Xenopus tropicalis: one gene and its partner. The protein of the gene in region 1 interacts with the protein of each later gene in a pairwise test. Links are inferred from orthologs where the notes say so. Each region holds a gene or a part of one and is shown on either strand. Other genes may lie near its edges. The genes, in order: zbtb10 and mob3c.

Region 1 (4,361 bases):
TTTAGGCTGAGAAAAAACGTAGCGTAAAAACGCCATGTGTGGCATCAGCCTAAGGGGCAGCACAAAACTGCACTCTAAAAAAACACATCAGATTTTAAAGGGATTGTTCACGTACCACATTTAATGTTATAGAATGTCATATTTCTACCAACTTTGCAATTGGTCATTATTTTTTTTATAATTTTCTAATTATTATCCTCTCTCTTCTACATGTTTTCAAATGAGGGGTCACTGACCTCAGTAGTTAAACTACTATTACTCCATGAACTTACAAATTTTATTATTATTGTTGTTAGAATCGGAGTGGGGGGTGCAGGGCCCACCAGGGCTGCCACCACATGGGCCCAACAACCTAAGGGCCTCCCCCCCGTGGTCCCCACGCCCCCAAGCCCCCGCTGCTCACCCATCCTCCTCCCCCGAGCATGCATACTTAGGCTCGTCTGTAGAGGGGGACCTGCGGGCCCCGAAGCACCCAGTAGGGATCGGTTCCAACCCTGATAATTGTTACTTTCTATTCTTTATCTTTCTATTAAGCCCCCTCCTATTCATATTCCTGCCTCCTATTTAAACCACTGCTTGGTTGCTAGGGTAAACAAGACCCTAGCAACCAGAAAGCTGCTGAAATTCAAAACTACAATACAAATAAATAAAAAAAATAAACAACAAATAAAATACTTAAGGTTTGTTTGAAGTTGAACAACCCCTTTAACATATATATATTAAATGCATTCTCAGGGTGTGAGGGGGGTTGCTTTCGTTTGGGCAGTCGCCATGACCACACTTTATAGAAATCCTAAGCATTTATGCACAAGTTGCCCACACATACTTATTTCTTTCTATAGCTAGCAGGTTACGCAGAGCTTTGTCGGAAGGCAGTTGTTTGGATCCCATACACAGGTCAATAGTCAAGTGTGGCTGAGTGGGCAGACAATATTGGTCCCAGTGTGGCCTTTGGTGACATAATCTTATTGACTTGTGACAGGTGCAGCAGGAGTTAGTTGTAATGTACAGAAGAGAAGGGAGCCTACAGGCAAACTCAGCTCATCCAGATATCAGGTTTATTATAGGAAAGCAATGGCAGGTTGTGCCAAGTGTATGGGACTCAGCCCAGAACTAAATCAGTGGAACAAACACTGCCTGTAGTAGGCTACAAGAGTTCAGAATCACCTAGAACTGAGCCATGTTAACATAGGTTCTAACCTGACACATATAATGAGAACAATGATATTAGCACCTATTGTCGAACTACAACTCTCTGCACCAAACACTGGGCTGCTAGCAATTACACATGACCGCTTATGAGAACAAATCGAACCCCAGCTAACAAGCCAAGGCGCAGGGTATCCAGCGAGTATGAAAATACAGATAGCACACAGACAGGCAGAAGCAATGTTGGGGTACGGGAGCCCCATGAATTCGGCAGACTGTGCAAGCAGAACCCATCTGTCCCTAGCCGAATCCCTTCCCCCAGACAGGGTGCAGTCCCAGCAATGGGGTGAGGCACAGTAATAGCCTGTGCATGGAAGGAGGCCTCCCCCCACCCCCACCTCACCCGCCCCCCTGACTCCCCCTCTCCGGACAGCGCCCCGGTGCATTGTGGGCGCAGTCCGTTGTTCATTTGCCATTCGACCTCAGCGAGGGCCGTGCAGGGGGAGAGATGCGTCCCTAGGCGCCATCTGTTTCCTACACGCAAACCGAACGGAGGAACGCGCTTGTAGTACGGACGGAGCTGGGGCTGCCCAGTAGCCGCTCGGTGACCGGAGGGGGCGGTTGTTGTACTTCCCAGAAGCCCCTGCGCGGCGGTGCGGGCAGGCACACTCACAGGCACCCCACACAGGCGGGACGCGTGGTGGCCCCCGGCAGGAGGTGGCAGGTTGGGAAGCCGTAAAACATGGCGGAGATGAACCGCAGGACTTTGGCCTTCCGGGGAGGCGGCGGCGGCCTGTCCACAGCGGGGACCCCCGTGAACAATAACAACAACAATGGCGTCGGCTCAGGGGTCCTGTCTATGGAGGAAGCCGCGGCCTGGTCCATGCGGCAGATGAACGGAGGGGGGGCCGGCGGGGAGGAAGAAGTAGAAGTGGAGCTAGACGCGGAGGGCCTGCTGGAGGATGACGAAGAGGAGACCGAGGCCTACCCGGGAGTGGTGCTGGGAAGCCGGCTAGAGCAGCGAGCCGGTACGGGAGGCAGTAATACGGCTGCGGGGCAGGGGGGCTCGGTAAGCGGGGAAAGCAGTGACGAAGAGGACGACGAAGAAGAGGACGACGACGAGGAGGAAGAAGAGGCAGTGCCAGGCGGCGGGGAGCAGGCCGAGAAGGGGGAGCCGGGAGAGGAGGAAGAAGAAGAAGACTGCGCCATTCAGGGTGATGGCACCCGGCGTTTCGGCCTGTTCCCGGCTGCCCGCCCCCAGTCCCTGCTGCCCAGCCTGCACTGCTCCTTCCAGGGCTCCTGGCTGCACGAATTCGAATGGCTTCGTTTCTGCCAAGAGACCGGCCTCATGTCCTGCGCCTGGTGCCACAGGGAGGAGGGAGGGAGCCCCGGGCGCGACGAGCTGTCCAAGGGCACTCGCAACTACAAGCGGGCCGCGCTGCTCCGCCACAGCCTCACCGCCCGGCATCGCATCAACGACCCAGCTGCTCAGGTAATAAGGGGCCGGGAGTGGGTGCAGTGTTTATACCATAGTGTAGGGCCGTGTAACATTGCCTCTCTCTGTGACACAACATGTCCCCTATACCATGGCGGGCCCCTAATCATGGCTCCTGGGGTGTACGGATCACGTGACCCGGCCGCCCCTTTGTTGGGCAGCTTTGCCCTTGGAGCCAGTGGCTGCGCACCCTGTGGGTAAAGCTGATTATCCGCTGCCTCACGCCGGGAGGGGGTGGGGGCGCTGCACACAGTCACTGTCCCTGGGAAGGAAGGGGGTGACCTACATAGACTGTTCCAGGGGCCTAAGATGCTGCTGTGAGGCCGGAAGTGTACTCCCCCCGCCCTGTTCTTCTACTCCCCCTGTCCCCTTCCTGTGCCTCCCCCAGGTGGGCGCCGCCCGCTTGCGGACTGTCCTGGCTTAGGGGACGTGTCGCTACGTGGCTGCTCCCCAATGGGGGCCCGACAGTCCGTGTATACCCGGCCGCTTGTCCCTCTCTGTCACATACACATGGGCTGTGCAGCACCAGGAAGTCGTTCCTAGAGTGCCACTTTAGCTACAAAATCCCATGTCTAGGCATGAAGCAACGTGGTGCAGCCTGGGGTAGAGTTATGGGAGATGTACAGCCAACAATAAACATTTGCCTAATCATATGCCAAGCAGCTTTCCTATTGGCAGTCCCATCAAACTCATTTGTAAATGTAATTGCCATTGAAGCCAGTGTTTCCCTGTTCCTTTATGCCAGGGATCCCCAACCAGTGGCTCAGGGGCAACATGTTGCTCACCAACCCCTTGGGTGTTGCTCTCCGTGCCCCCAAACCAGGGAGTTATTTTTGAATTCCTGATTTGGTGGTAAGTTTTGATTGAATAAAAACAAGATTTCCTACCAAATAAAGCCCCCTGTAAGCTGATAGTATGTATAGAGGCTGCCTAATAGCCAATCACAGCCCTTATTTGGCACCTCCATGAACTTTTATGGTGCTTGTGTTGCTCCCCAAGTCCTTTTACATTTGGCTGTAGCTCATGAGTAAGAAAGGTTGGGGATCCCTGCTTTATGCGCTGCTGGTCTTGGCTCTTGAACCCACATAAGAAGTCAGCACTGCCCTGCAGCTACATTTAACGTTTTAGGAGTCAGACCCACGGATGCCGGGTATAGAAAGGGACAATAGCTGTGATTGCATTTGCAAATAACCTGCTGGAAATTCATACTGAATGTTCATTGGGAAGTTGCCTAAAATATAATTTTCCTTCATGAGGAACATATCCCCCATCTTTAGGGATTAAAAAAGTATGCATAACCTACTGCTATTTGTGGCACAAGTACTTTTGCTTCAAAATACCCATGTTACTCACTACTTATGCTTGTTACATTTCTGTTGACACAAGAAGTATTTTTTTTTTTCATCAGTAAACTATGCACTGTAAGAGGTCATGGGGTTTAACTATATTTTTTTTTAGTGTTGCATACATTGTATTGCTTTAGGGATTGTATGTTTATACTGCAGCATAGGGGAAAAGCATAAAACAGTATTTTATTTTCTTTTAAAAAGCACTTTAGTATCACTTATGATTCTATGTAGCATGTATGTGATGCTTTGCAGGGAGTGTTCAGTTAGTTAATATCATCACTCACTGCCCCAAGGGAACCTGCAGTGTAACTAAAATCCATAGAGATTCAGCCAATCATGTGACCTTTCGGCCACTTTCAACACTTATG
Region 2 (4,318 bases), on another chromosome or scaffold:
AAATGGCAATTCACCAACATGGCACATACTGCTTGAAAAATATATTTCGCACCCCATGATTACCTTTCCTGTACTGGAGCTGGTCAGAGGGACTGCATAACTAGTGCAATTTCGCTCTCTGCACTATAAGAGCTGAATTTCCGGTTTAATAACCAGAAACTTGTGGGGTGCTGCCACTGCCTGTGATTATAGTGTAATCACTTAGCTGATAACCCGGGTCCTTGCTCCGGTTACCAGAAAACTGCACAGGCCCAGAGAACTTCTGTAGTACAACGGAATGATTTTTTTCTGCTTCTTTGATCTTCAGTGGCCTCGGCCGTTGCATGTGTAGAAGAGTGAGAAAGCCGGCTTTTTTATTAAACATTTCACTCTACTGCAAATGTGTACCTGTCAAGAAGAAGGAAGAAGCAGGAAAAATATTGCAATGTGGTGCTCACTCAGGGGTACCCTAGTTTTCTGCTAACACGGGCACTCCCCTTGGGTATATGGTAAATGATTATAATCACTAGGGGGTGCCTATATAGGCCAAGACTGGCAATCTGTGAGTTCTGACAAATGCCAGTCACTTATTGATTGGGCTGGCCATGGGCTGTTTGGGCCTCTGTGTACTGGAAATGCCAGGGTCTATTTTATATCCCAGTCCAAATATGTTCCTAACATTTGGCAGCCCCTGGTGATTTAATCTCCGAAAAATGCTTTCCCACCAGCAATAATTGCCAGTAGAAAAACATACGACTGTTTTTTTCAAAGTTGCCTCAAGATGAAACTTCGGGGGACTTCAAAAAAAGCCTGCGTATGTCTGCCCACTGGTAAACATTATTGCAGGTGAACTGGTGGAAGAGCATTTTTGTAGTTACATCTACTTTACCTTGTGCAAAAAATGCTTTTGTCTGCCATCCCCCTCACATATATATACTGTATGAAAAAGCAATTCAGTAGATATTTTGCCTGCCTAAGATATTTATTGCCCTCTTTGTATTAGCAACACAGCCAACACATGATCTGGTTGCTATGATCACACTTACCCTGGTTACCTGGCAGGGTGTTAGTGGAATACATAGAGGTGTCCATAGCCTGTAATTAGTCTACATTACAGTAGACTAATAACCCTGGCAAGCTGTAAAACAGGCAAAAACCAACAACCAAATGACATGTTATGCTCTGTGTGGCAATAGATAGATTTATATTTTTGTGTGAGTTTGTATAATAAGGTTTAGCTAGTCAGTCAGCACACGCTGGAAGAGCACAGTGCGAGTGGAATAGAGTGGGAGCGGGCTGCCTGCAGGTTGTGACACGAACAGCTGTACAGACTTCTAGACAAAATCAGGATGTGACATCACTGACAGGAAAAAAGGCAGTTTGTTTAATACAAACTTCCCAAAGCTCCGAGCTCACTGTGCCGTCATGCAATTACACCACAGCCGACAATAACCCGCTCCCGAACCATTGGACCCAGTTGGTTCCACCAGTTCCACACGTTCGGAAGTGCCTGCAGGACGGTGAGTGGGAGACTGGGGCAGTGCAGGGGCACAGCTCCTGTGGCAACAGCTAAATAATCAGCACATGATTTCTGGCCCAAGACCCAGTTCCCACGGTGCGCACCCATGTGGCCCGGAGTTACAAGAGTTAAATAAAGGGGACACGCACCAGATCAATGCGCAGTTATTATAGTGTGTTTGGCTTTAGCGTCTAGGTTACCGCTCAGCGTGAAGGAAGTGAGGTGGCCGTGGCAGGCTAACCCAGGCGCTCGTCTACCTGCTGCTCTACCTGCTCAGATCGCCTTTAAGCTGGCCAGGACTGTATTGTATGTATTGTTATTATTAGAATAGCATCGCAGAGGGCTGTTCGATACATTTTCTCTGCTGGCAGCTGGTACATTTCAGGAGTCAAAGTCATCAAGCAAAAACAACCTGTTTACTATTACTAGGCGCCAAGTTTGTAGGAAACCAGTATTTACAACTTGCATAATTGTATGACTAGGGTGACTTTAAGTAGAGAGTATAAAATATGAAATTCTGCAATGATGAGAAAATTTTGGCCACATGCACTTGGACACGCTCCTAAATACCACACACAATTTACCAAAACAATCACTATATAAAATAGATAATGGATATTTGAACCCAAGACATAACAAGTATAATTACTAAGGAAAATTGACAACCTGCATATTAACCCAAGGTATGCAAGTAAAATTGCTACAAAAATGCATAATCAGCATATTAACCCCAGATGTGCCAGTATAATTACTACAAAAAAATTGATAATCTGAATATTAACCCAACGTGCTTGTATAGTTACAACAGATAATGGAAATCTTTACTTCAGATGAGCCGGTATAATCACTAAATAAAATAGAAAATGGGCATTTTGCCCGCAGATGTACCAGTATAATTACTATGAAAAATGGATAATCTGCATATTAGCCTGAGATACGCCAGTATCATTACTACAGGAAATGCAGAATCAGTATATTAACCCCAGATGTGCCACTATAATTATTACAGGAAATAGTTAACCAGGATATTGAGCATTCCATTAACTGTGGCAAGGAATAATTTCCAACAGGTAGCTGCCTGTCAGGAGTAACATTGCCCAGTAGGGAGGGCAGAGCTGTATTGCCTGTATCCTAATTTCTCTAATAAGCGTGTAAGGGAAAGAAGAGGAATACAGTACAGCTCTACCCTGCTCTGCCCTCCCTACTCGATTCTGTGAGGTATACAGAATTTCAGGGGAGGACACTTGCCCCTATTTGATGTCGTCCACACCTAGGTGGGTATCGGGCTCTCAGGCTAAAATGTAGAATAGGGCACAGATATGGCATTCTTGGTGAGATGTCAGGATGCCTGACCTTGGTAACTGTGTTCAATGGAAGGGAAATGAATGACATGCCAGAGATGCAAGGCAGTTGGCCAACCCATTGCTGTATGAATAATGAAGCTAGTGGCCAAGAAAGAAGTCACGTAATTGGAAAATCAGCTTCATCAGGGGAGTTTAATGTCACAGACCATTATTTCATAGGCCAGCATAACAAATATCAGTTTGGCCAACAGAGGGCACTGTTTCAAACTGGGTTTTTCAGTATTGTTCTCTCATCAGTGCAATCCAGGCTTTGTTTTAAGACAAAGAAAACCCACCATATAAATGCAAGTTGAAATAACAAACAAGCAAAGAAGAAGAAAATAGATAGTAAGAGGGTACCATGGAGCAGATACATTTTATCAAGTAGAATTATCAAGTATACCTTAGGGCAAGGGTTTCTTTCCATCTGCATTTTGTAGGAAAGTGGAGAGAAGAGGATCTAGTCCTATATGCTCCTGTGTCTAAGTGAAGCTACACAGATCACACAAAAATGAGAATGCATGCATTTTTGGGCTTATCTCAGCTGTGTAGCTGCAAACAGGCCGATGCTACAAAATGCAGGTGGAGAGAAGTGGAGAGTGTGCCCTTGTCCTAAGACAACTTTTGGAGATGTGACTGTGGTGGCATCTGCTGTCTCTCTCTCTCTCATCTTAGTTAACTTAACTATAGAATGTTCTGTGCTGTTATTATAGTTTTTGAAATTATTTTTCTTCCTCTTCTATGAAGAAGCCACTCGGATGACTGGTAAATCCAGTTGCTTTAGACTTAATTCTACTACATCTGAAATGCACCGTCAGGTTGCTAGGGTAATTTGGACCCTTAGCTGCTAAAATTAGAGAGCTAAGCAAAAAAAAACACAAAAAAATAAAAAACTAAGAGCATTTGCAAATTACTGTCTACATCATACTAAAAGTTAATTTAAAGGTGATCTACCTCATTAAGCAGATATATATTGTGTTTCTGTGAGTGGACGCAACCAATTAGGTAACCTCTTTCAAAAATTCTTAAGCAGAAAGCATTGTACAAGTATTTGCAACAATTTAAGAAATTTTAAGCACTGATGGGTCATTCAGTGACCCTTGTTTTAATGATAAATACAACTTGGAGGAAAAGGTAGATTTCCTGTTCAGTGGTTAGTCTGAAATGATTGAATTCATACCACTTCATGGTCTGTCATATGACTACAAATGGTTGAAAAAAGCTTTCCTGTTTCTTGTCTCTAAATGTAATATAATTTTTATTAATATGCTTCTAGGTTTCACTTACTTCCTTTATTTGTTTAAAGGTCAAGTGCTTATTCCCATACTGCGTTGTTATTGTTTCATGTGGCATGTAAAAGCTCTGGTCTGCAGTTTTATTTGTGGGTTCCTTTAAGGCCGCAAGAGAGGACATCTGTCACTAACCATTTCTTTATTAGTTGCCCTATTGCCAAAATGCATCTTTTTATAAAACAAAA

What was found.
Region 2: the proteins of zbtb10 (region 1) and mob3c interact in binary tests that used the Homo sapiens proteins (3 or more experiments, as listed by UniProt). The link is inferred for Xenopus tropicalis from reciprocal best matches to the Homo sapiens genes ZBTB10 and MOB3C.

What each region holds. Positions count from the first base shown.
Region 1 is NC_030682.2:123,656,471-123,660,831, reverse strand, and holds the start of zbtb10 (zinc finger and BTB domain-containing protein 10), read left to right. Parts: upstream 1-1,506; 5' UTR 1,507-1,891; coding exon 1,892-2,641; intron 2,642-4,361. UniProt on the Homo sapiens protein: May be involved in transcriptional regulation.
Region 2 is NC_030680.2:93,708,491-93,712,808, reverse strand, and holds the start of mob3c (MOB kinase activator 3C), read left to right. Parts: upstream 1-1,245; 5' UTR 1,246-1,499; intron 1,500-1,693; exon of another isoform or gene 1,694-1,804; intron 1,805-4,318. UniProt on the Homo sapiens protein: May regulate the activity of kinases.